Bombyx mori: one gene and its partner. The main gene of each other region encodes a partner of the protein of the gene in region 2 in a complex. Links are inferred from orthologs where the notes say so. Each region holds a gene or a part of one and is shown on either strand. Other genes may lie near its edges.

The links. Proteins that work in one complex are often made in the same cells at the same time.
Region 1: the proteins of regulator of MON1-CCZ1 complex (region 2) and protein SAND are in contact, whole or in part, in a cryo-EM structure (PDB 8JBE), measured with the Drosophila melanogaster proteins. The link is inferred for Bombyx mori from reciprocal best matches to the Drosophila melanogaster genes Bulli and Mon1. Residues at the interface, in NP_648047.2 of Drosophila melanogaster: Ile561, Arg565, Lys568, Asp590, Leu592, His595, Ser596, Arg599, Phe600, Met603, Phe631, Pro632; in NP_608868.1 of Drosophila melanogaster: Pro416, Glu417, Arg419, His438, Pro439, Glu445, Arg448, Met473, Lys474, Glu475, Arg476, Glu494, Pro495, Val496.

What each region holds. Positions count from the first base shown.
Region 1 is NC_085134.1:3,996,587-4,000,243, reverse strand, and holds part of protein SAND, read right to left. Parts: intron 2,297-3,657; coding exon 2,038-2,296; intron 839-2,037; coding exon 364-838; intron 1-363. UniProt on the Drosophila melanogaster protein: Part of the Mon1-Ccz1 guanyl-nucleotide exchange factor complex specific for Rab7 that promotes the exchange of GDP to GTP, converting Rab7 from an inactive GDP-bound form into an active GTP-bound form.
Region 2 is NC_085117.1:6,356,843-6,360,499, reverse strand, and holds part of regulator of MON1-CCZ1 complex, read left to right. Parts: intron 1-539; coding exon 540-659; intron 660-1,272; coding exon 1,273-1,405; intron 1,406-1,941; coding exon 1,942-2,042; intron 2,043-2,908; coding exon 2,909-3,066; intron 3,067-3,636; coding exon 3,637-3,657. UniProt on the Drosophila melanogaster protein: Positive regulator of the Rab7 guanyl-nucleotide exchange activity of the Mon1-Ccz1 complex, possibly by enhancing its endosomal membrane association.

The DNA of each region.
Region 1 (3,657 bases), on a different chromosome or scaffold from region 2:
GATATGGCAACACTTGGAGGAAAAGGCGTGCTCAAAGCCTCATCCCAATTTGGATCACTCAAGACATCCTTGATTAAGGCAGCCGCCGATATTGACATGGACCTCGTTCGTGCTGCGATAGACGACTGGCCTCGCAGATTGAAGGCCTGTATTCAAAATCACGGAGGTCATTTTGAATAAACTTTAGTGTCATAAGAATCTATGTTTTGTTAAGTTCATTTTGGTATATGAATGGTTACATAATGAATAAACTTGTTTCAATTATTTTACATTAAACATGTGACAGAATTTATGACCTGACTAGGTATTATCATCCATCAGCGACGGTCTATCCATATATAAAATAAAAATAAAAAGACTTACCCAAGACAATATTGTGTCTTGTGAACTCGATCTGAATATAAGCTTAGCAGGCGTCGCGACACAATGTATCTGATTACAAAACTTCCGATAGTTTCTAACATAATCGATATCCGACAACTTTGTTATTTTCTTATCGACTATATCGCCCCCTTCTTTGTGCCTTAATCGATAATCTTGTAATCGATCTAAACTAATCGGATCCGACGAGAACAGCTGCGCTGTTGATTTACATTTATACATAAAATGCCTTATTTCCGGTATGCCGATGTGCTTGAGGGGTTTCGTTGTGGACAACTCTTCGTTACGGTTTAAAGCATTGTTAATGGCAACTAAACAGTTTGCCCGTCTCATTTTCTCGGCTATTGTGTGTTTGGCTTGGGATAAAGTTGTAAATGCATCCCTTTGTACGGTCAGTAGAAGTAGACAGGCCTGGCAGTCCTCTGATATGTAAGACACGTGGCCGTGCAGGAAGCCCCTGAAATTTTATACAACACTTAAATGGAAGGAAAAAAAATCACAATGGAACTCGTATGCATGCAATGAAACATAGTTAGGAATACAGAGTCAATGCTCTGACGGTATTTTTTATTGCAGAAATTACCCATCTGTTCATTTTTTTCCTACCTAAGCTGATGGTCTAGGGAGATCATGTCAGCGTCACCAGGCTAGGCTGTTTATTGATGACTTGAGTATGGACATTAAAATGCTCTTTTTTTTTCTTTTTTTATTGCCTCTGTAGGCAGATGAGCATACGGCCCACCTGATGGTGAGTGGTTACCGTCGCCCATGGACTTCAGCAATGCCAGGGGCAGAGCCAAGCCGCTGCCTACCGTTAAATACTCATACCACTACTCACCTGGGACATAAGGTCGAAATCAATTTTATTGTATAAGAGCTATGCTATTATTAGAACCGGAATGCATGACTACTTTTCAGAAGAATTATGTATCAGGATATGACTTCATTGACTGTTTTATCTTTTAAGTACTTTTTTTGTTTCTTGTTCGCTAACATGAAATAATAATAATAATAATTTCTTTATTTACTACATAAACTCTTAAATCATGACCTAGAATACTATTTACATATTTAACGAATTGAGGGATTAGGCAGATGGTATCAACAATATAATATTAACCAATGATCTTCACACTAGGCATAGCCTGTATCATGAGGAACTTACGATACAGGCTATGCCTAGTATCCAACATATAATATTTTATACTAGAAGTCCCGCAGTAGTCGAAATTCGACTATAATTAATTGGAATTGTAAGTTTGTACACTATTATGATTGTATTTTATACTTCTATAATCACAAATTTCGCCAAGACTACACTAAAAAAGTATTAACAAAGACAAACAATATTTAATCTATTCTCAATTTGACAACAGAAGTCAAGAACAAAAGTTTGACAATAAATAGTATGGATACGTGTGTGTGTCAAATACACGGTATGTAGTGTGTGTAATGTTTTCTTTATTGATTTAATGTATCTTTTATGCATTATTTTAAAAAAATATTAGCATTGTGCACTTCTTCTCTATTCTCTGTAAGTTTGGAAAATTTCATACTCCTCCGTCCCCGCGTCGTAAAAAGGGATACAAAGTTTTTGCTTCACGTATTAATATATAGATAATATATTTAAGTTATTCATATAAAACACAAACTCACGTTGCATCAAACTTGGGAAGGCATATTGGCGTCCAGCTCTCGGCCGTTTTGAATGACTCCGAACTCCTTATTAAATTGAAAAGCAAATGTATATCCGAAGGGTGCAGGGTGTATTTTTTCATTCTCACTAATGTTATCAGTTGATTCCCAGCTATCATTATAGCGAAGACGAGATCACGAATCTTGTGGCACGTGGTTGTTATTGCATTCGTGATATTCTCTCTGGCTTTTTCTGGTAAAGGAAGGCATCGGACTGCACCTGAGAAAAATTAAGTACTTTTTGAAGTGAAAACTTCTTTAGAATCGTTGTGATTTCAAACCGGATGCAACGGAAAAAACGACAGGTAAGAGACACAAATACAAAAATGTGTAGGATGAAGCCAGCAAAGAATGAGACAGAAATATACATACTATTTAATACAGCGCCATCTGTGAGATTTTTTAATACTAATGTGTGTATGAAAGCTCTTGTAGTGAATTTTAATTTAGGATTATACGTGAAATTAAAATATCAATTCACAGAAGGCGCTACCTTACAATTATTTACTAATGACAAAATTTTACATATACTTAAGACGTTTAAGAATAATTGTATTTTAATTTTGGAAGGTTTCACTTCTACCACGTGTGAATTGCACACATTTTGTTTTTTTTTAATTCACTAGAATAATTCGATAAAAATCGTGAATGAATAACTAGAGAGAACATAAAAGTCTCCATTATAATACAATGTATGATTGCTGCTTGTGGAAGGAGACAAAACATAAGAGACAACTTGTGCCACCTTGCAACATACCTAAAACTAATACACAAAACAAGCATCTGGGAGGATAAGATAATTATATGAGATTATAATTACACAGTTTCTTATACCGATAACACAGTTGAAAATATTATCTTGCATATTTTTTTACATTGCATATAATAACCGGCAAACTTCTTGAGCATTTGTTGACGTAGTGGGGGTAAGTTTGCGCATGGTACACTCACGTGCAAAAACATTACTTACTCTGCGTCATAATGCTATTAAATTATTAAAATCAACATATGTATTTATTTATATATTTATTAGAACATCAACAAAACATATAGGTTAATAATTGTAATAATTTAATCTTGCGATAAAATAGATATTCCTTCTATTAAGTCAAAACTAGAGCTGTTGCCAGGTCTTGGTTCAGTTGAAGCGAAGCTGGTATTTGTATATTTTTTTTCGTTATCATAATCTTGACCATCATCATCATCACTGTTTTCATCACCCGAGTCGCTATCATCGTGATGAGTCGACATAGGGCTCATCGGCGTAGTTTACAACTCGGTCGATTCGGTCTTCTTTTTTGTCTATAATTAATTATTTTTTGAAGATATTCGATTCGTAGTAATCGAATGTTACTTTTTTCATTTACCAGCTTCCGATTATTTTCTGTTCTTTTTTTCCATCTGAAGCCTAGCTCTTTCATAATTCGTCGTAAGCTTCATTCCGAGCCATTAAAATTTATATCTTCTTTAAATGTTTCGAAGCCTTTCTACGGTACGGAGTTTCGCTGCTTGTTATGTAGTTATTATGATTACATATTTTTATTACAGATTGAACGAAACTATCCATTCCGGTAACTTTCT
Region 2 (3,657 bases):
TCCGTGCCATGCTAACGACGCAAGCTGCGAGCCGCATGCCCGACGACAATCGTACATTACCAGACAGGCAGGTCGGTTGTGCCTCCCGGCTATTTCTTGAAACGGGTGACGATGTCCGCATTGTGTAGTCTGTGGACTCCAGTAAACTATGCCTACTACTAACTAGCTATGACATGTCCTTCTTCAAACGAAGCTTGTGGAGAGTATTAAGCGGTAGGCAGCCGCTTGGCTCTGCCCCTGGCATTGCTGAAGTCCATGGGCGACAGTAACCATTCACCATCAGGTGGGCCGTATGCTCGTCTACCTACAAGGACAATAAAAAAAAATCGATTCAGAACAGATAGACCGTGAGATCGTTCCATCTAACTAATAAAAAAAACGTCAGATCTCCTTGTGGATAGGATCACTCGAATGCGGGATTTGTCAATGCAAACGAGGATACGGATGAGTTGGAGATCCGAAAGTACAACGCGCCTGTAGTAGCTCCAGGAAGCTGCGTTGGCTTGCCGCAGACGAATAGTCCTGACCCTGTGTTGCAGGTCTGGTTGATGCCCATTACGGGCCCCAGCGGCTTCCACTACACCCACATCCTCAAGACTGGACTGGTCGGGAGATTCGCTGTCAATGTGGTCGATGACTTGGTCGTAGTGCACCACCAGGTACATTTCCAGAGTTTTCGTTCAGCTATTCTCAAGTTGTGTTAAGAAATATGATTTGTCTAATTTCGCTCTGATAAAGCCTCTCGCTCAGCTCAGCTGTCTCGCAAAGCTGTGATAATCGTTCGATAATATATTATATATATAACTTTGTTTTCTGTTAGCAAAGATTCTAATTTTTATAAAAGCAGTAAACATATTTAAACATTTTTACTGATGGTAGGGTGACTTATGAGCCCGCACGGGTAGGTACTACCGCCCTGGCTATTTCTGCCATGAAGCAGTTATGTGTTTCGGTTAGAACGGTGGGGCAACCGTTTTGCTATAAAACGATGATCTTAGAACTCATGTCTCAATATGGCAGCACTTAGGTTGTTGATGTCTATGGGCTCTGGTAACCACTTAACACCAGATTGGCTGTGTGCTCTAAGTAATAAAAAAACGCTACTATACTACGCCAAATGAATAATTTCAATAGAATATCCTATTTTATCTATTAACGTCAGCTACAGCTTGCCTAGGTCACCAAAATCTCTCTTCCTCCGTCGTACTGAACTTCTGAACTGAACTGAACTGTTCATTAACATTTACCAAGTGGCCTCACGATTCCTTGCAGTCGACACAAACCTCACAAGTGTTCGACATAATGGAAGAGTCGAAGGTAGAGAACAGTATCGCCGTTCACATCCCGCTGGTGGCAGGAGCCAGCATGCGACCGGCCCTCGTGGAGGGGCAGCCGTGTTCCATGTGTATCCTTTGTTTAAATAATAAAACACGACAAGCCTAAAGCAAATCCATTTGGGATCAAGAAAACTTGGCATGAAAATTAGCCCTCGGGCATGAAATTTAAATATACCTAACCGTTCTCTACTTTCCCTGTTAAATTTAATTTTATATGAAAACGACAAGAGAAAGTTATTTCACCGAGTGGGGGTCGTTGCCTAGTGACCGACGGTCCTTATGTAGTTGTTCGGTACCGGCAAACTTGTACTAAATAACGTTAGCGCCATTCAGTTTCTTCTCAGTTTTCTTCTGTTCTGTTATATTTACCGTTACGCGATCAAGATCATCGTTTAAATCTATAATATATTCCTTATCTGTCAACTCTTGGCCCATCAGGTGCAAAGATAATAATTAATATGCTATTTGAAATACGTAGGGTATTTGGAAATTGTTCCCTCGTAGCCTCCAAATTAAAACGCTCTTTTTGGACACTGGTCCCTCAACTGGCATTGGGAGAGCCTCGGTACCGTCAGCACGTAAATTCCTTACACAGAGTGTTCAGATTCGGGCACGTGGGTGGTGTTCCAACCCGACTACATCATAGACGCCAGGCTCGGCTGTCTGTGGCAGGTCCAGCTGCTGCCAGCGGGGCTAGCGCACTCGGTGAGTCGCCAAACCGTTTATTACTTATACTCTTACTGGTGGTAGGGCCTCTTGTGAGTCCGTACGGGTAGGTACCACTACCCTGCCTATTTCTGCCGTGAAGCAGTAATGCGTTTCCGTTGGTAAGATGGGGCAGCCGTTGTAACTATACTGACATCTTAGAATTTATAACTCATGGTAGGTGGCGGCATTAACGTTGTAGATGTCTATGGGCTCCGGTAACCGCTTAACACCAGGCGGGCCGTGAGCTCGTCCACCCACATAAGCAATAAAAAAATTAAATATTTCACTTAAACTTCACAAAATAAAAAGAACCATCGAAAATGTTCGAGAACTCTGTAAAATGCCTTGAAGATTTTTATACTTTACTAGCTGATCCGGCAGACTTCGTAGTGCCTCAATCGATAAATAAAAGACCTAAACTTTTATATAAAATAAACTTAAAACAAACAAATGGAATCCATCCGACGGGGGACACATCAAAGGAAAAATAAAATTGTTATTTTTATTTAATTCCGAGCATGTTCATATTTACCTACCTTTTAAACCTTCTCTGGATTTCCACAAATAATTCAAGACCAAAATTAGCCAAATCGGTCCAGCCGTTCTCGAGTTTTAGCGAGACTAATGAACAGCAATTCATTTTTATAAATATAGACTAAATATATTTCGAAAGTAATTTAAATCTTACGCTCTGAGCGGGAAGCAGAGCTCGGGAAATCTTATTTGCTCTTACATGACGGTGGGAGGAAAAAACTCCAAAATCTTCCTAACACAATTATTGAATGGCGCGTTCCATCCTGTACGCCGGATGCTCAAGTTTTGCTGCTGTTCCTTCAAAAGTCATTTGAAAAATAAAATAACAGGTGCCAAAAGACGAGATATCGAAGATAGTGGCCGCGCTGCTCCGTCGGACGGACGGCAGGGACACCATCTACAGGATCCTCCACCAGCTGATCAGCGACGCGGGAGTCTACCTGGTGGAGCTGTCTAAGGTCTTTGACGAAATCAATTCTGTTTACAGGTGGGTACTTTGAAATACTTCGATAAAACACAAGATTAAATTATCTAATGTTGTTTATTGAAATTTTTTTGGTACTTGAGGGCCGTAGCATCGTCTTGCCTAGTTATGCCGCCGAGCAGTTAGGCGTTCCCACCTGAAGGATGGGCCGGCTGACTCACAGGCCTCGGGATCTAGAACTGGAGGGGCACTCGTGTCGTGATGCTCATAGGCTCCGATAACCACTTAATATCTGCTGGGATGTGGGCTCGTCTGACTATCTAGAGCAGCCTTTCCCAAAGTGGGCGATAGCGCCTCCTTGTGGGCGCTGCAGGTCTAAAGGGGGGCGGTAAGAGACCCAGAAAAAAAAAGAGTTTTCATCTAGCAGGACTCTTAGACACCAACTGAGCTCTCGCTATAATGGTTGTATGTAGGTGAAAAAATGACGGCGCAAAAAAATTATTTAACCCCTAAGTGGGCAGTAGAAAAAATAAGTTTGGGAACCCCTGATCTAGAGTAATCAAAAAATCTAAGTTTAAATGCAAAATGAGTTACAGATCCAAAGAGAGTAAATGTGTCTGTCGGCCGGGACAGGAAGTGGGCGGACCTGGAGGC